Linked DNA regions of Arabidopsis thaliana. The protein of the gene in region 3 purifies or fractionates together with the protein of the main gene of each other region. This does not show direct contact. Each region holds a gene or a part of one and is shown on either strand. Other genes may lie near its edges.

Evidence for each region.
Region 1: the proteins of AT1G20580 (region 3) and AT2G18740 fractionate together in Arabidopsis thaliana (co-fractionation; one large-scale study listed by BioGRID). This does not show direct contact.
Region 2: the proteins of AT1G20580 (region 3) and AT2G47640 fractionate together in Arabidopsis thaliana (co-fractionation; one large-scale study listed by BioGRID). This does not show direct contact.
Region 4: the proteins of AT1G20580 (region 3) and AT3G11500 fractionate together in Arabidopsis thaliana (co-fractionation; one large-scale study listed by BioGRID). This does not show direct contact.

Annotation. Positions count from the first base shown.
Region 1 is NC_003071.7:8,119,591-8,127,154, forward strand, and holds AT2G18740 (Small nuclear ribonucleoprotein family protein), read left to right. Parts: upstream 1-3,630; 5' UTR 3,631-3,743; coding exon 3,744-3,785; intron 3,786-3,885; coding exon 3,886-3,912; intron 3,913-4,011; coding exon 4,012-4,074; intron 4,075-4,795; coding exon 4,796-4,874; intron 4,875-4,961; coding exon 4,962-5,007; intron 5,008-5,110; coding exon 5,111-5,120; 3' UTR 5,121-5,488; downstream 5,489-7,564. Other genes in the region: DGK3 (diacylglycerol kinase 3), read left to right, coding at 66-188, 280-417, 501-586, 677-764, 871-946, 1,034-1,116, 1,237-1,307, 1,413-1,490 and 3 more; AT2G18750 (Calmodulin-binding protein), read left to right, coding at 6,237-6,352, 6,503-6,578, 6,669-6,727, 6,808-7,301, 7,387-7,547.
Region 2 is NC_003071.7:19,535,212-19,542,547, forward strand, and holds AT2G47640 (Small nuclear ribonucleoprotein family protein), read left to right. Parts: upstream 1-1,962; 5' UTR 1,963-2,044; exon of another isoform or gene 2,045-2,049; intron 2,050-2,138; 5' UTR 2,139-2,181; coding exon 2,182-2,186; intron 2,187-2,293; coding exon 2,294-2,318; intron 2,319-2,648; coding exon 2,649-2,726; intron 2,727-2,916; coding exon 2,917-3,021; intron 3,022-3,103; coding exon 3,104-3,220; 3' UTR 3,221-3,539; downstream 3,540-7,336. Other genes in the region: AT2G47630 (alpha/beta-Hydrolases superfamily protein), read left to right, coding at 443-589, 707-837, 930-1,067, 1,146-1,244, 1,320-1,700; UXS4 (UDP-xylose synthase 4), read right to left, coding at 3,540-3,785, 3,853-3,945, 4,497-4,571, 4,660-4,743, 4,822-4,901, 5,272-5,419, 5,530-6,153.
Region 3 is NC_003070.9:7,125,585-7,132,905, reverse strand, and holds AT1G20580 (Small nuclear ribonucleoprotein family protein), read right to left. Parts: upstream 4,040-7,321; 5' UTR 3,928-4,039; coding exon 3,769-3,927; intron 3,128-3,768; coding exon 3,075-3,127; intron 2,982-3,074; coding exon 2,915-2,981; intron 2,819-2,914; coding exon 2,765-2,818; intron 2,598-2,764; coding exon 2,535-2,597; 3' UTR 2,107-2,534; downstream 1-2,106. Other genes in the region: AT1G20590 (cyclin), read left to right, coding at 441-611, 837-1,028, 1,115-1,213, 1,312-1,490, 1,584-1,740; DPMS1 (Nucleotide-diphospho-sugar transferases superfamily protein), read left to right, coding at 4,229-4,347, 4,773-4,872, 4,967-5,000, 5,082-5,158, 5,235-5,260, 5,351-5,515, 5,603-5,717, 5,815-5,919; AT1G20570 (Spc97 / Spc98 family of spindle pole body (SBP) component), read left to right, coding at 6,347-6,478, 6,557-6,817, 6,913-7,010, 7,109-7,280. UniProt on the Arabidopsis thaliana protein: Core component of the spliceosomal U1, U2, U4 and U5 small nuclear ribonucleoproteins (snRNPs), the building blocks of the spliceosome. May play a major role in the splicing of cellular pre-mRNAs. Required for normal plant development.
Region 4 is NC_003074.8:3,619,843-3,627,185, reverse strand, and holds AT3G11500 (Small nuclear ribonucleoprotein family protein), read left to right. Parts: upstream 1-4,579; 5' UTR 4,580-4,711; coding exon 4,712-4,746; intron 4,747-4,881; coding exon 4,882-4,904; intron 4,905-5,290; coding exon 5,291-5,412; intron 5,413-5,500; coding exon 5,501-5,560; 3' UTR 5,561-5,581; exon of another isoform or gene 5,582-5,853; intron 5,854-6,061; 3' UTR 6,062-6,224; downstream 6,225-7,343. Other genes in the region: CYCB1;3 (CYCLIN B1;3), read left to right, coding at 47-86, 248-618, 698-799, 892-1,478, 1,567-1,711; AT3G11510 (Ribosomal protein S11 family protein), read left to right, coding at 2,320-2,322, 2,619-2,738, 2,826-2,871, 2,969-3,054, 3,137-3,266, 3,362-3,429.

The DNA.
Region 1 (7,564 bases), on a different chromosome or scaffold from region 3:
GTTGTCAAGTTATTGGTTTGAGCTTTTGATATTGAAACTTCATGGTGACTTTTGTGTTGATACAGGTGTTTGACCTCACGGAAGTGAAGCCGCATGAGTTTGTTCGATACGGGTTGGGGTGTTTGGAGAAAGTGGCAGCGGAAGGAGATGAATGTGCAAAAGAATGCAGAGCAAGGTTGAGGATTATGGTGAGTGTATTGACCATATTTTTCTCCAATCTCTATAGATCCACTTGAATGTTTTTAGCAATCAGAATTGTGAATGGAATTGGTTGGATAGGTTGCAGGAGGTGATGGTACTGTTGGTTGGGTTCTTGGATGTCTTGGAGAGCTTAATAAAGATGGAAAGTCGCAAATTCCTCCTGTTGGAGTTATTCCTCTCGGTACAGGGAATGATCTTTCAAGGAGTTTTGGTTGGGTGAGTTGTGTTTTCTTTGTTCTCTCTTATGTTGTCGTGACAAAACTTTTGAATTGGTACTGACTATGGTATCTCTTCTTCAGGGTGGTTCGTTTCCTTTTGCGTGGAGATCTGCTGTTAAAAGAACACTCCATCGCGCAAGTATGGGTCCAGTTGCTAGACTTGACAGGTAAAAGTCTTATTTTGCTCAAAACATTTAGCTTTTATTGTATTTCTCTTGTTGTAAAAATGTATGCGCTTTGGTTATGTGGTGTTGCAGCTGGAAGATTTTAGTGTCAATGCCATCTGGAGAAGTCGTAGATCCTCCTTATTCTTTAAAACCCGCTGAAGAAAACGAACTTGATCAGGTTTTGCTCTATTTCATTAGGCTTGCTTCTTCTCATTGAATCATCAGCATGTGATTTTGTAAATTGCCACGGTTTAGTAATTAACCAGGCTTTATGGTGGTTTCAGGGTTTGGACGCGGGAATTGATGCGCCTCCACTTGCAAAGGCTTATGAAGGTGTTTTCTACAATTACTTAAGCATAGGTTTGTTGAACTTCTCTTTTTGATATCCTAAACAATTTTCACAATTGTTTTTCTGACCAGATTCTTGTGTTTGTCTGGTTTGTTTAGGTATGGATGCTCAAGTTGCATATGGCTTCCACCATCTTCGCAACACTAAACCATATCTTGCTCAAGGCCCTATTTCAAATAAGGTTTGTTTATTATATTTGCACCTAAACTTTGGACTCATTATTTGTCTTTGTTAAAAGCTAAAGTAGTTATGTTGGTTTTGAGAAACGACATTACCAACCACACAATGTTTGCTTTTGCAGATTATATATTCAAGTTTTGGTTGCAGTCAGGGTTGGTTTTGCACGCCTTGTGTCAACGATCCAGGTTTAAGGTTCGCCATTTCGACTCTTATTGTGTAGTTGAACTTGTGTGTAAGTCTCTGCTTAAGCCCTTTGTTGTGTTGTTGACCCCTTGTTTGTGCTATATGAATTTGCAGGGGACTTAGGAACATAATGAAAATTCACATCAAAAAGGTTAACTGCTCTCAGTGGGAAGAGATCGCAGTCCCGAAAAAGTAAAAAACAGTTTTCGATATATGATTTATGTATTACAATCTTTGATATCAATGCTTAAAACCTGATGCTATGGATTTCTCTTGTAGTGTGAGATCAATTGTCGCATTGAATCTTCACAGCTATGGAAGTGGAAGCCATCCTTGGGGCAATCTAAAACCGGACTATCTAGAGAAGGTATTGTTTCTGTTCCATTTCATCATATATGAACTCAGTTCTCTGATGTTAACCCGAATGTTTTCTTTGGTTTTTCTCAGAGAGGCTTTGTGGAAGCACATTGTGATGATGGTTTGATAGAGATTTTCGGTTTTAAGCAAGGATGGCACGCGTCATTTGTCATGGCTGAGCTCATCTCTGCCAAGCACATAGCTCAGGTAACTTCAAAAGACACTGGTCAATGTATAATCTTTTTAGCCATGTGTTTGACTGTTTCATTTTGGTGATCATTTCAGGCTGCTGCGGTAAGATTTGAGCTAAGAGGAGGTGACTGGAGAGACGCATTCTTGCAAATGGATGGTGAGCCATGGAAGCAACCAATGAGCACTGAGTACTCAACATTTGTGGAGATCAAGAAGGTTCCTTATCAATCTCTGATGATAAATAATGAATGATTGAGATTCAAAGCTGGATTCTTTGTACAAAGCTAATTGTTTTGTATTTGGATTTGATTCAGTTAGTCATAGATATAGCCTAAGCTTTTTAGTCTTCTTTTCTTTTAAATCTGAGATTGTGACCATTTTTCTCTTTTTAATTTCTGCTTATTGTTGGTTTTGTACATTTTTGTGTTGTGAGGAATGAAGTTTGTTTATTTATAAGAATGTGGGAAGATAATATTTGGTCAAATTTCAATCTCTCTTCAATCTTTGTAATTCTAGCATTGAGCACATAGATGTGATTCTTTGTCATATTTTTATTTATTTTAACACTAGTTCGACTGAGAACCAATTTATCATCGACACCAATTTCTAAGTAAGAATATTTTTAATAATTATCATTATTAGTCGTATATTTTTACCAGAATAATAAAAAATTAAAAACCTAAGTTAATAAACCACACAAAAAAGTTTTTCTCTCTTCGCTCTCTCGTAGTTTGTAAAGATAGAAACTGAAATTTCTTTTGTTTTTGTTAACCGGATAGTTTTCCGGTGAGTCGCCGTCCCGTTTAATTCGGGCTTTCGTCCGACATCTTCTAGCTACGTTAGTGGAGATGGTTGGCTTTTTGTATGGCATCGTTGGCTAACTTAGCGACGTTGGCCAGCTTCCGTACGGCAGCGTTGGGCTTACACTAACAGCGTTGGTCATCTTTGTTTTTGTTTTGTTACTTCAAAGGTTTGATGATGAAGCTTTATGGCATGCAGAATCGTCAGATCTGAAGAGGGTTTCTCTTTACAAGATCTATTCTCCTTCTGTTTTGTTTAGCTTCACTATTGGGTTATGCTTTTGGCTCTGGTAGTTTTTCGGCGATGTGTGCGTTTCCAGCAATTACCCTCGTTTGGATCTACCATATTTAAGACAGTTTCAATTTTATTTTCGCCTAAGATTGGGTTAAAGCTTCTATCCTATGCAAATTTGATATGCCTTTAGTGCTTTTGCAAGAGAGTTCGAAGATTCAATGGTTGGACAAGTTTGAACTACTCAATTTTTTTAATTTCTTTACCCGTTTTGATGAATTATTTGTGATTCTAGCAACCATATGAGATTAGGAAATTGATGTTTGTTCTATAACATCTAATTGCCATAATCGGTGATAGAAAAAAAGAGTTTCATTGCTCGGTGCTTTCCCGGCGATGGTTCTCCGATTCACCAGACTTGAGTCTCATCCGGTGGAGGTTGTGGAAGATTCACGTGTCCTTAGCTTATTATTATTGGTCTGACACGTCTTAAGCTTATCTCTTTTTTGTGACGTAAAAGTCTGTTGTGGACCTCATATGTAGACTGTCTTGAGCCTTTTATGTTGTAACACTGAGCCTCAGTATATTAAAAATAAATCTTTCTCTGAAAAAAAAAAAAAAAAAGTTAAAAACCTACGCTAAAAAATTCTAGGTCTTGGAAAAGAGTATTTGGGCCAAATGATCACATTAATTAGTTATGGGCTGAAATAACATTCTGAAGTTTTATGAGGACCGAGAGAACTAAGTTTAAGAAAAATGTTGAAAAAAGCGTATTAGCAGAGGGACAAACGCTTTTTAGGGTTTTAGATTTCCTCTGAGAGAGAATTTTCGAAAGCTTGAGAGAGATTTCCAACTACGTTAGCCATGGCGAGCACCAAAGTTCAAAGGATTATGACCCAACCTATCGTACGTTTCTTCTTCGATTCCTTTGTTCCATCTCTTTATTGTTTCTATCGAAACCTAATTTTGTATCTTGCTTTTTGTTTTCCGGTGGCGGCGGCTCCAGAACTTGATTTTTAGGTTTCTTCAAAGTGTAAGTTGTTCAATTTCTTCTGATTTGCTCTCTGAGGTTTTAGGTTATTAGTAGTTCGTCTACTGATTTGTTCCCTGGTCTTTTGTGTTTGTGATGCAGAAAGCTAGGATCCAGATTTGGCTATTTGAGCAGAAAGATTTGAGGATTGAAGGAAGAATCACTGTAAGTTGATGTTGAAGCTCCGTTATCATGAATTGATTAGATTCCTGGCTTTGTTTATAGGACATTCGAGGGTTATGCTAACTTTAGGAGAGTTTGAAATGCATTAGCAGTGTGACTATCTCTCTAATTTAGTCTGTGTTTGAACTGTTGCATTTGTTGTGAATTGAAAAGGGATAGTTGTCACTGTTACTACTACTGCACAAAGAACTGATAAGAGCCTGCCAATAGAAACTAGTTTGATTAGCTAGCTGTTCTTAGGTTGAGTATGATTGTGTCATTCTCTTCGGCTTAAAACTTATTGTCTCCTACAGCCTACTTGGCTTTGGGTGTTACTTGTTTCAGTTTGTTGCTATGCTTGTAGTTGTATGTCCTCTATGATTTTCGAGTTATGATTCAAGCATTCAAGCTTTTCTTAGTTTGATTCTATGATAATTTGGAGAAACTTGAGATTTTGTGATGGTGTCATTCTCATTGGCTTAAAGGTTTGAGTTGTCTACTTGACTTTTGTTGTTCCATGTTGCAGTCTACTTGACTTTTGTTGTTCCTCGAGTTAAGATCCTAGCTTTTCTGAGGTTGATTATATGTATGGAGGAACATGATATTTGTGATAGTGTCACTCTACTCGGTTTTAAACTTAGATTTTTGTCTACTTGAATTTGGGTGTATTATTGATTCTTCTAGGAGAATCCATCAAACCTTGCTTATCCGTCGTCCTTTGCAGGGTTTTGACGAATACATGAATCTAGTTTTGGATGAGGCTGAAGAAGTGAGCATCAAGAAGAACACCAGGAAACCACTTGGTGAGTTATCCTGAACTCACTCTTTGATAACAAGTCTCAGATCTGTCTGCTTATGGTTTGATAACTCGTGTTAATACCTATTTTCAGGAAGGATTTTACTCAAAGGAGACAACATAACTCTGATGATGAACACGTAAGTAACACAATCTCTACTCTGTCTTCTCTCTTTATGATGTATAGCAGCTTGATTTGTCACATAACAAAAGATTGAAACAAAATCCTTTCTATGTTAACAGGGGAAAGTGATGTCTGTCTCAAACAACTCTCTTCGATGACCTTCAAGCTTATGTTAAATATCTGTTGAGTTCTTCCTCAGCTTAATTGGTACTTGACGATACCTTCTTTTCTTCAATGTCGTATAATATATTGCAATGTAGTGAGTGACAAAGGAGCTTGATCGAATCTAGTGGATTGGTTGGTTAAAACTTCAAAAAAGAGATTTGGTCCCTTTTGGTTAAATCTAGTGTTATGTAATTTGGCTGATCTTTGTTGCAACTTTTTAACCTCTGTTTAAATTTCAAACCTTAAAAAAGTAAAACCAATTGATTTTGATTATAAAAAAAATTGTATCATTTTTGTTTGTTTGGTGAACTGACCGAGTTGGCCATTCTCAGGGCTCAAGTAGATTGAAAGTTTAATTATACTAATAGACCAATCAGAATATAATCTGTTAAAGTTAACATAAAAATACAGAAATCTATGTGAACATTAACTTTTCATTGCAATTAGATGTTTTTATATCCATGTTGATTGTTGAATCTTATCCCTAATCTTGCTATTGGTGAAATGAATGTATTTTTACTATTAAAGTCTTTTTTTAATAACAAATAATTGGACTTTATACAACAAAGTATTATTATTTAATTATCAACTTTAGAATATAGCATGTGCCAAAAATACATACACTAGCCGCCGGCCCAAGAATGTCGTCCAATAAACGAAAAGCAAAAGTGACGGCAATCCAAGCCTACTGTGATCTTGTCCGCACCCGATAACTATCTTTAATTACTAAAACTAGTCAAAGTACTCGACTAATCACAAAACTAGACAAGTGTTTCAAGTAAATTAATTTTTGATCTTTTCATTTTATCTCTCTCTCTTTTTCTTCTATCCAAAACACCATTTTTGAGGTATTTTTCTCTCTCCTTCGAATCGAATTTTCAGGTTTCTCTTTCCGTTTGTTTGAAGAAGCTTTTAAGTAGAATTCATAAAATCTTGCTTAGCTTCTGGGTTTGATTTGTTTGTGGTAAAGTTTTGATTTTTTTTTTAGTTTGAGAGCTGGATTTGTGATTCTTTCTCTGGGTTGGTGAAGTTTTTTACTTGCTTCGATCTTATAGATCAGAGCTTCTAGCAGCGTAAAAAATGCAGACGAGGTATATGGAGAGGACTAATAGTATGAGAGAGAAGAGAAAATTGGAGGAAGATGATAATCAGCAGCAGCAGCAACAGCCTGAGCGTAAAAGGCCAGCTCTTGCAAGGTAATTTGTGTTGATGCTTGTAATTTTTCTGATTATTGATTATGGCGTTGTTGAATCTGTAATTGATTTGTAGTTGTATGAATGAAAAAAGGGTTGTTATGTATATTGATTGTCTGTGGATTTGAGAAAGTTGTGTATGTGTTATTGCAGTGTAATTGTGGAAGCCTTGAAGATGGATAGTTTACAGAGGCTTTGTTCTTCTTTGGAACCGATTCTTCGCCGAGTGGTTAGCTTAATAAGAATTGTTTACATGTCTTTTGGTGCTTTGTGTTGTTTCTTTGGCTTACTGATTTGTTTTGTGAGCATTGTCAAACAGGTAAGTGAAGAGGTGGAGCGGGCATTGGCAAAGCTTGGCCCTGCAAGACTTAGTGAAAGGTAACATATGACTGTTTTAAAAAGAGATAAAATTAATGGTTGGAGTATTTGTGGTTTTCTTCTAATGCTTGAGTTCACAGGTCGTCTCCAAAACGAATTGAAGGTATCGGTGGAAGGAATTTGCAGCTACAATTCAGGTCTAGATTGTCTGTTCCTTTGTTTACTGGAGGGAAGATAGAAGGGGAGCAAGGTGCTGCAATCCATGTTGTACTGTTGGATATGACAACTGGACATGTTTTGACAGTAGGACCTGAAGCTTCTGCAAAGCTTGATGTTGTTGTGCTTGATGGTGATTTTAACACTGAAGATGATGATGGTTGGAGTGGAGAAGAGTTTGAGGGTCATTTGGTGAAAGAACGTCAAGGGAAGAGGCCTCTCTTGACTGGTGATGTGCAGGTCACGTTGAAAGAAGGTGTGGGAACATTAGGGGAACTTATCTTTACGGACAACTCAAGTTGGATTAGATGCAGAAAATTCAGGCTGGGTTTAAGGGTCTCTTCGGGTTACTGTGAGGGAATGCGTGTACGCGAGGCAAAAACAGAAGCTTTTACCGTGAAGGACCATCGTGGAGAGTGTAAGTTCTTGCTTTCCTTTGATATTAGTCATTGATGTATCTGAATCTTTGTTTTTCTTTTGCCTAATGTTTTTTTTTCCTACAGTGTACAAGAAACATTACCCACCTGCTTTGGATGATGAGGTCTGGAGGTTGGAAAAGATTGGAAAGGACGGGGCTTTCCATAAGAAACTCAATAAAGCAGGAATCTACAATGTTAAAGAATTCCTGCGTCTTATGGTCAAAGACTCTCAGAAACTAAGGACTGTGAGTGCACGATTTAA
Region 2 (7,336 bases), on a different chromosome or scaffold from region 3:
GCATGATACTGAGAAAAAAGTCATTTCTTTCACTGCTTATCATTTTTTTTAACTTTTATATTTTAGATTTGATGCATTATACTAGTTAGGATTTGTGTAGTGATAGTAGCAGATCATGGATCTTAAATTCACTGTGGACCTTAGAACATTTATGTGTGTAGTAATACTCCTTAAATGCCTCTAGAAAGCAAGTCATGGAGGGTGTTAGGACCGGTAGGTCAACAAGTCTTACTTTATGTGGTTGGTTTTGGTTGGAGAACGACCCTCAGACTAAATTTAATTTATTTCATTTTTTTGGTCTTTCCTCGTTTAGAGTGTTGTATTTGATCCCTTGCAAATTAAATTACCTTTCTTTCTATGGCTAGCTTGGTGGTTGAGAAAATTTATTCGGAAGTTGATACATGTTTGAAACTAAACAAACTGATACATGTTTTGATTTTAGAATGCGGAATCAGGCTGGCTTCAGCTGGATACGCGGTTTTTGGTATGGACTATGAAGGTCATGGAAGGTCCATGGGATCTCGTTGCTACATCAAGAAGTTTGCGAATGTTGTGAATGATTGCTATGACTACTACACATCTATTTGTGGTATTTCATTTGACATATATAACAATAACATTCCTCTCTCTCTTCTTCTCCGTTTATCAGTAAGAAGAGATTTTCTCAACCCCTTAAGTTAATCCGGTTAATTTTATGTGACACCAGCGCAAGAGGAGTACATGGACAAAGGCAGATTCTTGTATGGAGAATCCATGGGAGGCGCAGTCACTTTATTGCTTCACAAAAAAGATCCTTTGTTTTGGAACGGCGCCATTCTAGTTGCTCCAATGTGTAAGGTAAAAAACCTGCAACTATAATTTTAGATTGCAGAGTCGTAGGTGATAATAATATTGAAATGCAAAGTATATTGTTATGTTTAAATATGCAGATATCTGAGAAGGTGAAGCCACACCCTATAGTGATTAATCTGTTAACTAGAGTCGAAGAAATCATACCTAAATGGAAAATAGTTCCAACAAAAGACGTGATTGACGCTGCTTTCAAGGACCTCGTCAAGCGAGAAGAGGTCTGTATAGTGTATACCAACCCTCTGATCACCATCGAAATTGGTTATATGTAAATAATTTGGTGTGTGTAAATGCAGGTAAGGAACAACAAGCTGATATATCAAGACAAGCCTAGGCTCAAAACCGCACTTGAGATGCTTAGGACAAGCATGAACCTAGAAGACACTCTCCACGAGGTTCATGTCTCTTATTGATTGTTCTTGATCCCGTGTTATGACATTATTTCTGACCAAGACAACATGATATTGCAGATAACAATGCCATTCTTTGTATTACACGGAGAAGCAGATACAGTGACGGATCCAGAGGTAAGCAAAGCTCTGTACGAGAAAGCTAGCACAAGGGACAAGACGCTCAAGTTGTATCCAGGGATGTGGCACGCTCTGACGTCAGGTGAGCCTGACTGTAACGTGGACCTTGTTTTTGCTGACATCATCAATTGGCTTGACCTTCGAACCGCTGACCCTGCCTCTCTCACTGTCACTCCTATACGAGTTGGTAACACTACGAGCGTCCAGAGGGTAACTACTGTTAACGGCGTTAGTAACGGTCATAGGAGGCCTAAACGTCCCTTCTTCAATCTCCTTTGTGGTTTGAACCGTGGCCGTTTGGTTCCACGATCCACTGTGTAATAAAATTTTATCAAGGCAAACAAAAAACAATTTATGAAAAAGAGAGTTATGATTTTGTGTGAATTATTAAAGATTGGTGGTCTCATGGTTTGAAATTTGAAAATGTATGGCCCAAAGAATTTATAAGTTATGGCTACCTAAAATATTTATATTCGTTTGGAAAACGTTAAAGCCCCCCAAAAAAAACATTAAAGCCCATATAAATTGACAAGGCCCAAAATTTGAAAGGCCTAACTTAACTATGTTGTAGCGCCGGTCCGCCAAGTACTTTCGAGTATCGAGTCGTCGTTCTTCTTCTTCCTCTGAGAGAGAGATCTGCGGAAAACGAAAGCGAGATTTATCAGGTAAGGTAAAACCCTAACTTCTTCGATCTTTCCTTGTGCGAAAATCTGTAATTCTGCTTTCCTGAGTCTCTTTCGTATTCCTTTACTTTGATAGGTTCGGTGATTCTTTGTGGAGAAGAAGCTCGCGATAAGTCAACATGAGGTATATCTCTCGATGGTTCTAAGTTTCTTCTGCATTTTGTGGTGCTCAATTTGAGACTTGTCTAACACTGTGGTGTTTCTCTTGATTTTCTATATTTTTTCTCGCAGCAAGCCAATGGAAGAGGATACCAATGTAAGCTTCCTTCTAATTTCTCTCGCTACTGCTTTTCTCGATTCGCTGTTTGCCATAATTCATCTACTGTTTCCAGTTTCATCAATCTTAGCTGTCTCTAGTACTTGAGTAGGACTGTGCCACTAAAGATTTTCACTGAATTTTTGTTCCGTTCTGCGTTGAATGGGCAGTAGAGAATTGGATGTTTTCATCACTTCTGCCCTTTGTTGTAATGTCATTTGATTGTTGCTGTTATAAACTCCATTAGTTTCCTGCTTGTATGATACTCTTAAGGATGTGTTCTCTCCTTAAATGTTGTTTCTAATTCATCATGCTTGATACTGTCCTTAGCAGGGCAAGACTGAGGAAGAGGAATTCAACACCGGGCCACTCTCTGTTCTTATGATGAGCGTCAAGAATAACACTCAGGTATAGAGATCTCTAGGAGATGTATTGAGCTTCTGATGTTAGATAATGATGTTGTATATGAAAACTGATTAAATGGATAGATGTTTTTGACCTTCATGGGCTAGGTGTTAGACAATGAAATATTGAAATGTATAACGAAGAGTGGTTAAAATGGAAAGGTTATTAACAAGGTCAACTTTTTTATGTTCAGGTTTTAATCAATTGCCGGAACAACAGGAAACTTCTTGGGCGAGTGAGGGCGTTTGACAGACACTGCAACATGGTTCTTGAAAATGTCAGAGAGATGTGGACTGAGGTAGCCAATATTCATTATCCTGAAATCAGTTTTGTCTACATATAAAACTTGTGGTGCCTGAGATGGCGTTGGTTTGGTTTAGGTTCCGAAAACTGGGAAAGGCAAGAAGAAAGCACTTCCGGTGAACAGAGATCGGTTCATAAGCAAGATGTTTCTACGTGGAGACTCGGTCATTATCGTCCTCAGGAATCCAAAATGAGAGGAAGAGAGACTTAGAGACATGTTCCTTGTTTGTTGTGCTAAAACTGATAAATTCTTGTAGGTAGTAGCATCTTTTAAAGTTATTCGTCTCATTTTCGTTTATGTCCGAATTGACAAGATCTTTTAAAGATCTTTTAAAGACATGTTCCTTGTTTGTTGTTTGTTCAGCTCGCATGTCCAAGCTCAAAACTACGGTGATTGCATTAAAAAAAATAAAACTTTAAAATCGGTGAGGTTTCAATATCACTACATTGACAGGAATAGAAATATCAAAATTAAAAATGAAAACGAAGAGAAACGAGAATCTCCAGCGACAGTTACTCTGTTGATGATGAAGTGGTGGAAGAATCCTGCTTTTGGTCGCCAAAGACACGTTGACGGAAATCTTTGACCATAAGTGGGAGTCCTTGGCGTAGAGCCACCTTTGGTTCCCAACCAAGAAGCTCTTTGGCCTTTGTGATGTCTGGTTTCCTCTTGTGTGGGTCGTCCTCTGTGTTTGGTCTGAACTCTATCTTTGCGTTCGGGTCAATTGTCTCTTGAACCACCTGCTCACCCACCATCCACTCGTTTGGGTCAGATACAAAGATTTTGAGTGATCAGATTATATGTAACAACAAGAGAAAAATGTACCTTAGCGAGCTCGAGCATGGTGAATTCACCGGGGTTACCAAGGTTAAATGGACCGACATGTTCTCCCTCCATCAACCTCATCAGACCTTCCACCTATCACATTATATTTTGCACTCAAGTTTACCAGTACACAATAATAAATAACCATGTAAGGATACGTAGAGACAAAATGAAGCATGATTTTTCAGCTCAACAAAACAAGGACATGGTATAATAAAGATCCGTTGTTGGTACCATAACATTGATTGATATCCATCCATCCCCAAAGTTTATGTCACACTTTACAGAGCTAATCCATTTTACTATGGCATCAAGGTTAGTGAATCCCGTTCACAAAATCAAATCATAGAGAGATCGTAAATACAAGTGATTAGACTAACTATCCGAACCTCAAATATAGATTCTCAGCCACTTATTGTATCCTAGTGAGATCAACTATAACTTTGAATAGTATCAAGATAGACTGTTTTCTGTTTTTACCATGTCAAGTCTGAAGTATACCCCATGAAAGTAACAATTGAAAAAGATGTGGTCATGGCAAAATTTGAAGAAGTAGGGCTACTACACCATGAATTGAACTTTTCCTTGTTTTTATCTAATCATGAATTTGAAAACTTAAGGAGGAAAAAGTAAAAGGGGATTACCAGATCAGAGACAAACTGGAAACTCCTAGTCTGCTTACCATCACCATAAACAGTCAAAGGCTCTTTTCTTAATGCCTGCACAACAATCATCATTACTTAATAAAAGGTATAATTCCGTTGATCATTTATTAAGCCACTTAATCTAACACAAAGTCCTCCGCACCTGGGCAACGAAGTTGCTAACCACACGACCGTCATCGATACACATCCTTGGGCCATAAGTGTTGAATATCCTAGCAATCCTAACCTGTTGAGGAATAATAAATCAGTCAAAATCTGCATCTGCATTTTCTAGCAGCGAAATATAATGAAAAAGAAAACAGACCTCAACATTAGCGCCTCTGTGATAGTCCATGGTCAAAGTCTCAGCCGTACGTTTGCCTTCGTCGTAACAACTCCGAACACCTGTTCCAATTTGCCATATCACTACTCTTTCAATATTCCACCAAACACAAATTGCTCAATCTATTATTTCAGAAAGAAGAAAATTTGATTAAAATGTGGGAAGGGGGGTAAAAGCGTCAAATAAGGAGGATAAAAATATCTCCTGCGGGTGCGTCTATGAAAGAGACACACGTCTGAGAGCCGTACGATTAAAGGACCCACAATCTACGCTTCAAATGGAAGGAACTTTGACCAGATCTTAAAAAAGAACTCTCTCTCTCTGTGTTTCTTCTGCTAACGTGCTGTGTTTCTTCTGCTAACGTGCGCTTAATTGTTGTTTCAAAATGAGGAAGAAGAAGAAGAAACAGAGAGGGAGATGAAGGGGTAGTACCGATGGGATTAACGTTGCCCCAGTAAGTCTCAACCTGAGGATGTTGAAGAGGATCTCCATAGACCTCACTCGTACTCGTCAGCAAGAATCTTGCTCCCACTCTCTTCGCTAGTCCCAACATGTTCAATGTTCCCACCACATTCGTCTTGTATCCACACACACAGAGTTAAGGACAAGAGCAAGCAAGATCCATACTACATATAACAACATTGATGATGATAAACTGAAATTCCTATAGAAGGAAAAGAAAAAGGATATGATAGTCTTGACGGGATTGAATTTGTAGTGAACAGGAGAAGCAGGGCATGCCAAATGGTAGATCTGATCAACCTCTAGAAGGATCGGCTCCACTACATCGTGACGGATCATCTCGAAATTAGGGTTATTGAAATGGTGCATCACGTTCTCTTTCCTTCCCGTGAAGAAATTGTCGACCACGATCACGTTGTCTCCTCGAGCCATCAACCGGTCCACCAGGTGTGACCCGACGAACCCTGCTCCACCTGTCACAACAACCCTTAGCACTTTCCGTTTCAAGCCTAGAGGGATTTTGCCGCCTGCCGATCCGATCCGGCTCATGTACTCGATGCTTGGCTTCTTATGAATCGTCGCTGGCAGATACGATGACTCCGATCGCATTCCGTATCCGGAAAGCGGATCCACGTCGTAAGGAATTGGTTGGTGGTTGGATGATTTGGAGAAGATTGTGAATCCTAATGTGGCGATGGCAATGCCGACGAGGACGAAGACGAGTCTCTGTTCTCTGAGCATGTAACGGATCGGACGAATCGCTACGAACCATGGCTTTATCGGCTTTGGATAATAAGATTCCGCTTCTGGTTGCTCTATCTCGTGTCGCCGGTTTGTCAGCTCAGACGCCATCTTTCAGAGTTTCTGGATCCACGATCGTGATAAATGGAAGGAGAAAGTAATCGTGATTTTACCGAGTCGAACTAGCCGGAGACTGAGTCGACCTGTAGGACGGGGAGTGAAAACCGATTTGGGTTTTCGCTTGTATTTAAGTAGACGAAGGTGCGTTACTGTTTTAGCCTCGTTCTTCTTCTTTTATTACGATGATGCCCCTATATTTACTTTGTTTCTCTCTCTCTTTTAGGCGTTTTTCAGATTTGAAAAGTAAACGATTCTTCAAAACCGGACGGACATTGATTACTATCTTCGTTCATTTGTTGACCAATTACAATTTTCTCTTTTATAAAATGTTGTCTTTACAAAATTAAATGACTAGTTTTATAAAGAAATAAATTTATTTTCAGTTTTGTATTTATTACTTGTTGTGAATCAATCTATTTATGACTTATTAAATAACTTTGATGTTTTATTTGGCAACTACTGACATTTTCTTTGCATTTTTATATTTTGTATAAATTATAACTTTTGTATTCATTGTCATTATGGGGAAATGAATTTTTGAATTGGAAAGTGCTGACAACATATAAAGTATATGTAATATGACTATGTAAGTAAGGAATTATTTAGAGAAAACTTCATACTCGATCGATATATAAAAAAACGACGAAAATGTATCATAGAGTTAACAAAGTAGAGTAATGTACCTTAAGAAAGTCAATAAGCGCCTAATTTGTCACGCAAAGCCAATTTGATGGCAACTTTGAGTGATTTCAACGCTCGTTTATTTTCTTCTGTTTAATTATTTTTCCCACTAGTGATACCTAACATATATATATGATCATTTATGTATACATTTATCGTTAGGAAATATATTTTTCTCGTACGAAACGTTTATTGACAGATTTATAAACTCACATGCATTCATAACGTTTTCACTTTTTTGTTGAGAAGAAAACGTGACATAACAACGTTTTTTGACACAAATTTTGGCATATTATTATTTAGGTACAAACATGTTTTGAGTTTCGATGATAACTTTTTTTATGGGTCAGATTATATTGTATGGGTGACCGTGGTAATAACATTTATCTAGGTTTACTTTGACGTTAACTTCCTAACATACATAAACAAAAACGAATATAAGTTTGCTAAGAGAAAAGAGGAAGAAACAATAAGAGATTGATTTGGTGTCGAT
Region 3 (7,321 bases):
ATCATATGACCTTCTTTCTGTATATTTTTGTGCGTTCTGATAACTTGGTAATATTGATAAACAATTTTTTTCACGTAATAGTCATCTGACACATTAGACATACCAAAAAAAACATAAGACATTATATTGTTATATGCAAAAGAAAATAATTAAAGTGTTGACTTAAATTACTAGCATATCATGATGTGATTGTTTACTAGATGACAAAAAAATATATGGAATAAAAAATTGTTTGTTATAATTAAGTTAGACAAGTTTCAAAACACATAAGTAATATAACTACATTCATTTTATCAATCTATCATATATTGTTGTTGTATGTGATTATGATAGTTAAATATTAGAAAAATAGATATATAAATTTTCATATTATAGTAGAATTGATATTTCGAGTTATAGATGAAACTAATCATAAAAATTAATAATTATATTAAATAGATATGAATTATAGTAATAATTATATTGAACATCAAAATAAAAAAAAAACCATAATCATATTTTTCCGACAATTCAAAAAACAAAAACCGATGCTACGCATGGGTGTTCATCTAGTTGTAATTAATAAAAACACATTTAACTTTTTTAATCGACAAAATAATTATTTTAACTCTGTAAAAATACTGCTCTGTTTTTCAAAAACGTCAATGAGAGATATAGACTAGAGACCTCTCTAATAGCTGATGATGAATTTTTTATAATAAAAAGCTCTGTTTCTTGATACCATGTCGTATAAATTTCTATATCATACATGTATATGCTCTACTTGAACGACTTCTTATGTAACTTGAGTTCTTGTTATCTCAATACAAGTTATGTTTGTTCATTCTTGTCTTTAGGGAAAAACTAAGAAGATTTTTGTCATCGACAGATTCCTTGCGGTTCATCAAATCGTGAGGAAAAAGCTTCAGCTTGTTGGTGTTACTGCTTTGTTGCTCGCATGTAAATATGAAGAAGTTTCAGTTCCAGTGGTAGATGATCTCATCTTGATCTCTGACAAAGCTTACTCTAGAAGAGAAGTGCTAGATATGGTGAATACACAACTTTGTCTTGATCATTAACTACCACTGGTTGATGCTTCATAGTTGAATTTACCTGTTTTTGGTTTCTATTGCAGGAGAAGCTAATGGCCAACACCTTGCAATTCAATTTCTCTCTACCAACTCCATATGTTTTCATGAAACGATTTCTCAAAGCTGCCCAATCTGACAAGAAGGTATATATCTCCCTAACTAAAAAAGCTTGAATCATTATGTCCGGAAACCATCAGGCCTAATATCTAAATCGGTGTGGTATATGCAATTGTGGTGTCAGCTTGAGATTTTATCATTCTTTATGATCGAGCTTTGCCTTGTGGAGTATGAGATGCTAGAGTATCTTCCATCTAAGCTGGCGGCCTCAGCAATCTACACTGCTCAGTGTACACTTAAGGGATTTGAAGAATGGAGCAAAACCTGTGAGTTTCACACAGGCTACAACGAAGAACAGCTACTGTAAGAACATACATTGATTGTTTCGAATTTTTTTGAAAACCCGATGACATGAGATTTTGGAATCCTGACAATGGGTTTTGTGTTTTTTCCTAGGGCATGTGCGAGAAAGATGGTTGCTTTTCATCACAAGGCAGGAACAGGGAAGCTCACAGGAAGTACAACACATCTAAGTTCTTTCATGCTGCAAGAAGTGAACCAGCTGGGTTTCTGCTTTAAGGGAGGAAAAAACTATAATAAGAATCTAATATGACATAACTCGAGTTTTTCTTTTGAACAAAAAGAGTGTGAGAGAAAGAGAGATAGAGCAAGTTGCCCAAATGGGATATGTACAATGGTTGGTTCGGTTCTTCTCTTTTTAAGGTCTTTAAGATCTTTCTTCACTTGAGAGAGAATAAAAAGAATCTTTTGATATCATGCTTTCCTATATTCAACTTGTGAATTGATCCTACTAATTTCATGTATAATCGTTGTAAAATACTCAGGAAACTCTATGACCCATTTTGGTTAATATTACTCAGGAACCGAACCTCTACACTCCATCAAATATTCTTCTACAAGTCGTTTTGGTGTTTGCTGGTACTCTGGAACTAAACTTTTATAGACTAAATATTGTACAAGTCATTTTGGAAATTTTTTGGATAATTTGGGAAAATAGCAGTAGACAAGGTTTTACATGTTGAAAATACAAGTACAATATTATTTTCTAGCTTATATTATTAATGTTATAAATGACCAACTTTGTTTTCTGATCTTAGTCTTATTAAGACCTTTATGAAAACAATGTACTTTGTTTTACTCATCTACTGTCAGAAATGGAGAATGCGCAAAGAAGAAAATAGATCACAACGAAAACTTGTCAATGATTCAAACATCTTGGTAACCCAAAATACAGAACTAGTAGTGCATCTGGATATCTCTCTCTCTTGTTTGGTTTTACAGTGTTCTCTAAAGCATTAATGACAGAACCAAGAAAGGCGGCTTTCACCTGGATATCACAGAAAGACTATCCCAGAATCAAAGCTTACATGTTGAGCGTAAAATCAATCATCTCCTCACAGGTGGTACCGCTCCCCTTCCTCCAGTTCCACGCCCGGGCCCGGCAGCCGGCTTTAAGATAATATCACAAAGATTCAAGAATCTAACCATTAGTAGTGACAAAGAAGAAACAAACCATTAAGGGATAACAAGGATTTGAACATCTTAACAAGTTCCATAAAACTTCCTAACATTGCATTCATGAGCACTAAATCATAAGAGAGAGAGGGTGAACTTACTTTCCCTCGCATTGCACCTCTACCTCTGCCAACACCCAGTGATGAGCTCTTTCCCTACATTGATTAAGCAAGTAAGGTAAGATGTTTGTTGGAGATATGTATAGAGATCCTAATATCATTCTGCATCCAGGGTTCAAAAAGCATATATACCTTGATTCTAGCATCTAACCGCTTGAACATTGGAGCATGTTTGAGAATGTCTGGTATGACCATAAACCTGTCAAGATATATCCGCAGGTCAATTACTAAACAGCTAGGGTTAACAAGAATGATCCCATGAATTACATAAACAAGGAAACAAGTACAGCACCTGACTTTACTGCCTCGAATGAAGACATGCTCAAGCTGTGATACCTTACCATCCTGTAACACAGCATTGGAAAACCCAAAACAAAAGTTCAGTGACAATTAACAAACAAACCCATTAAGTTGACAGATTATTTATGTATACTATGAAGAATAACACTTAAAGAGTTAAGACTTTCTGAATTGAGAACTACATGTAGTTCTTTTCCCAATAATTACAGGTTGACTCAAAACCCATACGGCACAATAATCCGCAAATAAGAGGACGCTTTAAGACCTGCATACTTCAGATAATTCACATTTGACCACTGTATTCCTAAAGAGCAACTTAGGCTTTGGATAAAACGTTACAAAGCACAAACGTAGAACCTTTCTTCTCAGTTATTGATGTGTCCTATAGATCAATAATAAGTTTAACCAATCAGAGGAGACTATACCCTACAGTCAAAATTTATCTAATGTCACTGGCAGGATCACGCATTCTAGGGTTTTATACAGCATGAATTTCAAGGATTCTTAATCTCACTTAGAACTTAAAATAAGAAGCAATCTAAAATTTCCCAGCAAATTTGCCCAGCTCACCAAATCTAGGGTTTTAACAGCACTAACATCAAACAATGAAATTGAAACGAAACCTATGGTTCAAAAAACAGTCTCATATAAAATGAATCGAGATCTTCAGAGTATCAGTTGATTACCTTGGCGGTATAAGTAATATCCTCGAGCTGACAGTTCCAGTTATCCTCACACTCAATCATACTTCCTCTGTAAAGCTCGCCGCTCTTTAGCTCCACCGTCACGATATGACCTGAGGCCTCGTGAAGAAGCTTCACCGGTATTCCCAAACTTCGGCTCATCTTTCTCTCTACAAAACCCTAATTGAAAACCTTCTCCTTTAACTCTGCAACCTAGAAAGAAAAAAATGGCGGAAGGAAAGAAGAGCGACTCAGATGCGATTGACGAGTTTACCTCTTTTAAAGCTTTCCTGATTTATTTTTGGGCTTTATATAGGCCCATATTTATATTAGGCCCAATTTGAGAAACTTGCTTTTTAGTCCCTATATTTGACATTATTTTAATCCTTATTTTTGTACAGACGACGGCTGATTTCACGGGTTAAGACGAAGGAACCACCGTTACCAAAACTCGCCGGAAGAGATGGCGGACGAGATGGAGACCAAAGGAGAGAAGAAGTACAAGTATAGCATAATCATTCCTACCTACAACGAGCGCCTCAACATCGCTATCATAGTCTACCTGATTTTCAAGCATCTCCGGTAAATGAATATTTATTTCTTTTGGTCTTTTCACGTTCATTCTTTCATTTCAGAATCGGAATTACGTTTTTTGTTATTCTTTTACTGAATACTCGAACCTGATCGCCAATTTCAAGTTACGGATCTCGGAAATTTTCCGATCATGTTTCTGTAGATTGCAGATCCTAATTCGTGATTTGTTGTTTCTGTGCATGAGCTAGTAAAGGCCAATGTAGTGATCCCTCAAACTATATAGTAGTAGTTTCATGGTGTTTTAAAAACTTTGATTTAGTGATCGGAGAATAGTCAGAAGCTACATGTGCTAATCTTAGATCGATTCTGGTTATGGCTGCTTATATGAAATTAATATAGAATTGCACTTGTTAAGTAGACTCTTTGTTAACTGTTACTGAGAATTTGCTTCGCTACTTGTTTGTATGATTTAGGGACGTTGATTTTGAGATAATTGTTGTGGATGATGGGAGTCCTGATGGCACACAGGAAATTGTCAAGCAACTGCAGCAATTGTATGGTGAAGACCGTATCGTGAGTACAATGATGTGTTAAGACCTTAATTTGTAAATTATTGGGCGTTCTTCTGTTTAGGTGAAATCATGTTTTTATCTTTTTTATGATGCAGCTTTTAAGAGCTAGAGCCAAGAAGCTTGGTTTGGGTATGTAATTTGTATCTTCATTGTCTTCTAGTTTTGGTTAACAAGAAATGAAATTAATTTTCTTGGCATGGTCAATCTCAGGAACTGCATATATTCATGGTTTGAAGCATGCTACGGGTGATTTCGTCGTGATCATGGATGCTGATCTTTCACATCATGTAAGAGCCATTAATTTAGTTTTCTTGTTTACCTGTTTAATTGTTTAGCTAACCCAGTCACTTTTCTTCTGTGCAGCCAAAATACTTACCAAGTTTCATCAAGTAAGAAAAAGAAGAGTCTCTTGATCTCTTACTAGTTTCACAACCTATAGTGACTTCAACTGATTTGTTTTTTTTCTTATTATCATAAAGGAAACAACTAGAGACAAATGCAAGTATAGTAACTGGTACACGATATGTAAAAGGTGGTGGTGTACACGGGTGGAATCTTATGCGGAAACTCACTAGTAGAGGAGCAAATGTGCTAGCTCAAACACTTTTATGGCCTGGTGTATCTGATTTAACAGGATCATTCCGGTATAATTCAAATAACATATGCGCATATTTTTAACTGACATCATTTGATAGTATCATGTCTGACCTCCGCACCTCTTTGTTTGGAAGGCTATACAAGAAATCGGCGCTTGAAGACGTGATTAGCTCATGTGTGAGTAAAGGGTATGTCTTTCAGATGGAAATGATTGTTCGTGCAACCAGAAAAGGATACCATATTGAAGAGGTCTCTCTTTTTATACCAATTCACTGTGATTTTGATTCTTTCTAAACTATATTTCCATTCATATTCTTGATTCTCTGGTGCTCATCTTCATCTGCAGGTACCGATCACTTTTGTTGACAGAGTCTTTGGAACTTCGAAACTCGGAGGATCTGAAATAGTGGAATATCTAAAAGGCCTCGTCTATCTCCTGCTTACAACTTAAGACACACCAAGCAACTCAACAACACACGAGTCTCTCTTTATACTCTTCATTTGTTCCATTGCTTCATAGATTTCTCTTAACAGTTGAACTCTGATCATGTCGTTTAGAAACTTCACTTACTTTGACTTCAGAGAGTCGCATCTTTTAAGACTCAAAAGTTCATATTATAGACATTGTTGATTTTGAATGTTGAGTTGAGATATCTTACATTTCATAAATACCTTAACCAACCAACCAAAGAAGGTTTTATGTTTTAGATCGTTCGTAATGTGATAATCTTTGTCACTGCGACGGGCCTTTATAATTTGGGCCCATTTGAGACCTTTCTTCACTTGCTCTCACTCACTCTCTCTCAAATTCACCCACATCAAAGCTTCTCCGATTTCCCTCCGAACCAATTTGGTATGTGAAAATCAAATTCACAGTGATGTCTGAGTCGTTGCTTCGTATTGATCACGCCGGCTTAGACACCCTAATTCCGGGAATGATGTGCAGTCACAGAGTTTGGACACACTCAGAACTAGCTCCTCCTTCAGTGAGCGTGAATGAATCCCATCTGGTAATGCCACAAACACTACTCTTTTCAAATTCTTTTCGGCAAAGCAACTTAAACCCTTTTTCTCCGGAGGTTAATTAGGTGAAAGGTCTCTTACAAGCTTTGCAAGGTTTCTCTAGTCCCTTCATTTTCTGGGACCGAAAGGAACAAACTTTCCGCGCTAAAAGTGAGATACGAGTTTCTCATTTGTCTCAGTCAAGCCTTCATGTCCTTCTCGCTGGATTTTTGTATGCTGCTACATGTTTGAAGCTTGTGGAGTCTATTGTTAGTGGAATTAATGCCTCTCTTAAATCTCCTCCTACTTTAATGGCATTTTCGAACTCTGCCTCTGGTTGGCTTGAGGCAAGTAGTCCACAACTCCCTATTAGTTTTTTTATTTATTTATTTGGCTTGTTCTTGAATATTTGAGACTGATGTACAATTGGGTATTGGAACAGAGACTTAGAGATATTGCTTTGAATGAGGAAGTGAAGATCAACGATTCTAATGTTGCTGTTACTCCAACTCTTTTGGGATTAACTAGTTCTTTATCTAGGTGTGTAGCCTAGATCATTTTCATATATTGAATGCTGTTTCTCGGTTCAAGAACTATATTTAATAGCAGTCTTCAGTTTTTTTCTTTCTATTTGCTAGTCTGTGTTCAGATGCTGAATACCTTTTCCAAGTTGTACGAGGTGCGATCCCTCATGCGTATTTTGAGTCGAGTTCGGCTATTTCAACAGCTGAAATTGCTGTGCACGTTCTTGATTACCTTTACAAGAGGCTAGATGAAGTATGTCTTGTACAAGGTGGTGAGCTTGTGGCCGTTTTTTTGTGTTCTTTTTTTTTTTTTTTTCCTTTGTTGTT
Region 4 (7,343 bases), on a different chromosome or scaffold from region 3:
ACCCCTTATCTTGGAGTAATCAGAGAGTTTGAAAACACCAGAAATCATGGCGACAGGACCAGTTGTTCATCCTCAACCAGTTAGAGGTTTGTTTCTCCCCTCTGATGAATCTTTGTTTTAACTCTAGGATCTGCATAAAAACTCTCATCTATGAATCCTTTTATTTAGATGTTATCAAAGATTGCTTACAAATCTGTTTTCCAAGGATCCAAATCTTGATAGGTTGCTTTTTGTTAAAATTTATCAGGTGATCCCATCGACCTCAAAAACGCAGCAGCAAAGAATCGTCGTGCTCTTGGCGACATTGGAAACGTCGATTCTCTTATTGGAGTCGAAGGAGGAAAGCTTAACCGCCCCATTACTCGTAACTTTCGTGCTCAGTTGCTAGAAAACGCACAAGTTGCAGCCGCCGCTAACAAAAAGGCTCCGATTCTTGATGGAGTTACTAAGAAACAAGAAGTTGTAAGAGCGGTTCAAAAGAAAGCAAGAGGTGATAAGCGTGAGCCGTCAAAACCAATCGAAGTGATTGTGATAAGTCCTGATACAAACGAGGTTGCTAAAGCTAAAGAGAACAAGAAGAAAGTGACATACTCTTCGGTTCTTGATGCTCGAAGCAAGGTAGATTCTTTGTTCAACATTGAAAGCATAATGTGCAAAGTTCTGATTATTTGGTTTTGTGATTGGTGTACACACTTAGGCTGCTTCTAAGACTTTGGATATTGATTATGTCGACAAAGAAAATGATCTTGCTGCTGTGGAATACGTTGAGGATATGTACATTTTCTACAAAGAAGTTGTGGTACACTTACAGTGAAACCTTCTTTTGTTTATGCTTATGGATAAGTTATGTGAATGTCTTCTTTAAGTTTGTTGTTTTGTTCTTTGTTGCAGAATGAGAGCAAACCTCAGATGTATATGCATACACAACCTGAGATTGATGAGAAGATGAGATCAATCCTTATTGATTGGCTTGTAGAAGTTCATGTCAAGTTTGATCTCTCCCCTGAGACTCTTTACCTCACTGTCAACATAATTGATCGTTTTCTTTCTCTGAAGACTGTGCCTAGAAGAGAACTACAGCTTGTAGGTGTTAGTGCTTTGCTTATAGCTTCGAAGTACGAAGAAATCTGGCCTCCTCAGGTCAATGATTTGGTATATGTGACTGATAACTCCTACAACAGCAGACAGATTCTAGTGATGGAGAAAACCATTTTGGGGAATCTTGAATGGTACTTGACAGTTCCAACACAGTATGTGTTCCTTGTGAGGTTTATTAAAGCCTCGGGTTCTGACCAGAAACTGGAGAACTTGGTTCACTTTCTAGCTGAGTTGGGTTTGATGCATCACGACAGTTTAATGTTCTGTCCTTCCATGCTTGCTGCATCAGCGGTCTACACAGCAAGGTGTTGCTTGAACAAGACTCCTACTTGGACTGATACACTGAAATTCCACACAGGCTACTCCGAATCTCAGCTCATGTTAGTCTTCTTAATTCTTTACACTAGCAAGTTTGTGATCATATTGTTTGTATATTAATTCTCTATGTGCGTTTCTGTGTGTAATCAGGGATTGCTCAAAGCTTTTAGCTTTCATTCACTCGAAAGCGGGGGAGAGCAAGCTACGTGGTGTGTTGAAGAAGTATTCGAAACTTGGAAGAGGTGCTGTTGCTCTGATTTCACCAGCCAAGTCTCTTATGTCATCTGCTCCATGAACAAGGCTTGAAAGATGGCTCTCTTGCAAACTCTGCATTTTAGATTCTCTATCTTTTATCGTTTTATATGTAAAGGTATTGGTTCTTGTTGAGAAATGATGTTTCCGTATGAATTCAAAAGTATTATAATGAAATTCTTCTTCTCTTCTATAATCAGAATCGTTTTGGTCCTTTTTCCCATCATATTCTTTAACTATGGAGTCAAATTCAAATTACATAGTTATCTGTTATAACTTGAAAACTTCTTTGTTCTTCATAAGACCAAGTACGATGGTACGATCAAGGTGAAGTTGTTCACATTTGTCAAATAATAATTTCCAATAAGAAATCTGGTGAATTTTGTTACTTGTCAAAAAAAAATCAAGAAAATTAACAAGACTAATAGTAATAATCGAACGACGACGTAATGTTTAAGAAAAAAAAACACCAAACGACGACGTAATGGGTAATGAAAGTGATGAGGGTATTTACGTCAATTCATAGAGGTACTCCGATGTAACCCTAATATATAACGTGCATTTGTAGCGCCGTGAGTGTCCTTCTTGTTTACACTGAGCAGAATCTAAAAACACTTATCGTTTCGTCTCTTCTCTGATCCATTGTTGAAGATGGTAAGCTCTTTCTCTCCAACATTTTTCTGTGCCAGATCATTTGGTTTTCGTTAGTCTGTTAGGAAATTGAGATCTGCGATTTCACTTAGTCCTGCTAGTTTCCGATGTTCCATACTTATACGTTTGTTTCAGCTATGCAAAATTGACTTATTGATCTTGGCTTGTCTGATTCATAGTTTAGGGGTTGTCTGATTAATCTCCATGTATTGATATTGAGCTGATGGTATGTAATTATGGTTAAATACCAGTGAACAATTTGTTTCTCAAATGTGTTTTGTTCTCTCTGTATATAATAGTCGAAGAGAAAAACTAAGGAGCCAAAGGTTGAGACTGTGACTCTTGGACCTTCTGTTCGTGAAGGAGAGCAAGTTTTTGGTGTTGTTCACATCTTTGCATCTTTCAATGACACTTTCATTGTAAGTTTTTTCTCATTTATTCTTAGCGTTTGTGTAATATAACCTTCTGTGTAATGCGTTTATGACATTGCTTTCAATATTTTGCAGCATGTGACTGATCTCTCCGGTAGAGAAACTCTCGTCCGCATCACCGGTATGTTTCCTAGTAGTGAATTTTATTACCTGTGTTTATGTTAGTGTAAAATTCATTTATATTTCGAGAAATATAATGATTATGTGACCTTTTGCAGGTGGCATGAAGGTGAAGGCTGACCGTGATGAGTCCTCTCCTTATGCTGCTATGCTTGCAGCTCAAGATGTTGCTCAAAGATGCAAGGTCTGAAATGATTCGATGTCCATGCCTTTTTTTAATTGACTTTGAGGTTCTGGATGATAATCTATAATGGTTTATGTGACAGGAGCTTGGCATCACTGCCATGCACGTGAAGCTCCGTGCTACTGGAGGAAACAAAACCAAGACTCCAGGTCCTGGTGCTCAGTCTGCTCTTAGAGCCCTTGCTCGTTCTGGCATGAAGATTGGTCGTATTGGTAAACACACAAACTTAGTCTCACTCAAGTTGTTTTGTTTTGTTTTGTTATGATTGCTCATTGGAAGCTGAATCTTTCTTGAATGCATTTTGCAGAGGATGTGACTCCGATTCCCACAGACAGTACACGCCGAAAGGGTGGACGAAGAGGAAGAAGACTCTGATTGCACGATGAGGCTCATCATCGTTGCAATGTGCTCTTGAGACTGTGGGTATTTTCTTGGGTACACTTCGAAGTTAGTTTTGTCTCTCTCCAATTTATCTTTCCAGTTGCTTTGAGAACATTATAAGCTGTGTTTTTTTGTATTTGGAGTTTTTGGTATTGAGAAAAAAAATGTTAAGTTACTGATCGCGTCGTGTTACTGTTAGTTGGCTTATTGATATTTTACATTTTCTCTCTTTTTAACTTTGGCGAATGGATACTTTATCGAGATATTTAATGCTATGGTTGCTCATCAGAATCAGATTAGAAAGTCCGATGCAAGTTTTAGTATGTCGTGCTGGTTCCGAAATCAAACCAAGCCAGATCGTTGTTAACTTGTCATAATCTGTTTTTGAGGCCCAATTATTCAACCAAAAAAGTCAATTTTAAGAATGAAAAGAGTTGATTTGTGGCATGTGGTGAATGCAATTAACAACTATACGAGAGATTGTATGATAAAGACATCAAATATCCCAAGTCCGGCTTTTGGAATTCTTGATTAGAATGTTATCGCTTAGATTGTGTTGAATGGCATCTCTTGCAAGAAAAAGAAAACAGATTAGCAGATTATGATCATATATTTCTTATTAGCCCTGAGCTGTTAGTGCATTATAAGCATCAGACCCCACTTATAGCCTCTTGCAATGACTTAAAACTCATCATATCCTCATTTCTTGATGCTCTTGGTTGTTATCGAAGACATAAACAACATGGATGTTTAAAGAATGCTCTTTTATGTTCTTTAGTCTCTATGAGGAGCCATATCACAGGCAATATTTCCTAGTAAGGAGAAAGGTTTGGTAATTAATTGATGCAGTGGGTATCTTTCTTTTAGTTTTATGGCTTTTGACTACATGTAATTCAGATAATTTTGGATGGGTAATCACAATTCAAGATAAATTGTTATAAATAATTTAGTAATATAAATGACTAAATATCTCTAATTAGTAACACCGGGTGTTTGGTCTAGTGGTATGATTCTCGCTTCGGGTGCGAGAGGTCCCGAGTTCGATTCTCGGAACACCCCTACTTTTATGTTTTGAAACATGTGAAAGGCTTTTTTTGCGGTCAAACCCATTAACAATGGGCTTGAAACGACGGTGCTTCGACCACTCTAGTTTTGCAGACCGACGTCATTTTTTTTCTTTCTCTTTCGCTCTGGAGACTGGAATCAATCGAGTAAAGTGTTCGTAGCTGAGAAAAACCCTAAGCTCTCGTTTTTCGTCTTCTCCGATTCTGCAAGTATGAGTCGATCAGGTCAGCCTCCAGATCTCAAGAAGTAAGTTCTCTTCGCCACTTTTTTCCTTTTGATTTCTAATTTCTCTGTATCCATTTAGTTGAAGTTTTTGGTTTCATAGAGCTCCTACTTCTTCGTGTTTCTGATTTTGTTCTTCGTTTGTTTCATGTAATGCAGGTACATGGACAAGAAACTCCAAAGTAAGCTCGATCTCTTCTTCCACTTTTTCAATTTTAAAGCGTCTTTAAGTCGAACCTAAATCTCTTACTCAGATGAGAATTGCTTGCAACCCGATTTCTCAACTTAAGAGCTATATTAATGCCATTTCAGTTCATGTATTACTTGGGATTGCGTGTTTTTGTGTACTAATTAAACTTGTGTTTACAATTCCAATATATAGATTCAATGCTAATCTTGGTTAAGAATATATCAATGTCACATAAAGTTAAGAGTTGTATGGATTCTTAGGTTTTGTATCTCGTTCATTTAGAATTTTACTAGACTTTGTTTGTTATCATGTTTTTGTAACTTGGTATGGTCAAGTGAAGTTCTTGTCTGCTTTTTTTTGTTGTTACCCCCAATGTAGTTAAGCTTAATGCCAACAGAATGGTTGTTGGAACTCTCCGTGGCTTTGATCAGTTCATGAATCTTGTTGTGGATAACACTGTTGAAGTCAATGGTGATGACAAAACTGACATTGGGATGGTGGTACGTTTCTCTCCATCTCTCTAACTCACCCACAGAATCTTCTTGTCATTTGTTTTGTTTAAACATTCTACTTTTTTCCTGGATGCAGGTGATAAGAGGAAACAGCATTGTTACTGTTGAAGCTCTCGAACCAGTTGGAAGATCTTAGCTTATGACTTTTCACCCCCAAGTAATCATCTTCTGTAATATGAGACTTTGACTTACTTTGCTCTCTGTACCGGCATGAATCAATCTTGATTTTATTTGATGAATTCCTCTTCTTTGGCTCCTCTACTTATGTCATTTTACCCTTGTTCGGTCCTGTTTGTTCCCTATAGATTTTTCTGAACCCTTGATTTGATGGATACAAGGAAATTTGGATACTTACTGTCCTTGTGTTATAATCTCTTATCATATGTGTTAGTCAGGTATAAGTTATATAATCATTTCAAGTTAGAGAAATCAATGTAGTAATGAAAAAGCTAATTTTGAATGGTCCAAACCTTAGAGAAAGCAAAATACTTTTGTTGTGGGGATCTGAATTTTGGGTAAATGAGCTCCAACGGTTGTTTTTCTTTTGCTTTATTAGTATTTTAAACCCTTTTTTAGCCCTCTTTTTATCAAAGTGAGATCATAATCATGCCGTTTGGCTCCTCTGTTACTATTAAAGATGTTGTTATATGAATAAGAAGAAGCTAAAAGAAAGAAAAGGAGAAATAAGAGAAGTGAAAGTGGAAGGAATCAAGGAAGCATGTGCCCCACGAAGTATTGTGTGTGAGGCAAAATGAATGAAATCGGTACAATATCTATCAATCTCCAATGAAACAGCAACAACAACAACATGTAACCACAACGGAATGTTCGGCACGTGGGTCGTCGTCGGCACACACGTGGGGTGGGCTTTGTTCCAACTTACATTCATATCAAGTATTATCAACCACAAAACTATGAGTTGAAATGCCTTTTTTGGTAGAAAAGTAGGTATTTGTGTTTTGTCTATAAATTCTAAATTATTTTCTGTCCAAGTCATTATACAATTTGATGTGTTTTTTAACATTTCGTGGTCGGGGATCTCCAACTAATATAACAAGTAAACGAATTTTAAACACATGGATTTACAACTAATCCAAAAAGAACTTTCACCAACTTCACTTTCTCTTTTATTCTTTTCTCTTTGGTTTTTGGGGAAGAGAATAGAAAGAGTACGAGAGATTGCTTCTTTCTAAATTCTAACGGTAAACAAATATTACATAAAAATGTTAACCATCTTCGTATATTATTCTCATGGACCATTTGCAAGTAACTAAAAGATTCACTTTAGATGCAAGCTGTTCAATGAACTTCACCATCCTTTTTTTTATTTCTTTCAAATTTGATTTTACAATATCAATCTCATTTTTGTTTGTCACAATATCAAAATCTCACATCTTAGCGTGGATTACAATTTGTGTTTAACTATTCCATCATCATTAAATTTAATGACCAAAAGCCATAGAAATTGTGTTATTATGGATCATTGGTTGTTATTAGGTTTACCAAGTACATGAGACTAGTCTCATTGTAGATAATCTTTTACTATTTTTTTTTCTCAACTGATTATTATGGATTTATGCTAGATTTCTTCTTCTTCTTTTTTGTGTGTGGTACATTCATCCGGCAGAGAAATGATACTATAAAAGTTAATTAATACTCCAAATTTGAGATATCTTGTAAGATTTGATATACACATAGAAACAAAAAGTTATTACATAATACAAAATTTGCAAGGTTTCTTTACTTCATAAAGAGAAAGACACCAAAAAAAAAGTAAGTCACAAAATAAAAAAGACAGCTCGACATTCATCTTCCTCGTTAATCCTTCATCTTCTCTCACCAACCTCCACCAATCTCTCTCTCTTTCTTCTCTGTGTATAGGATACGAAGAAGAAGAAGAAAGAAAGAAAGATTGTGAA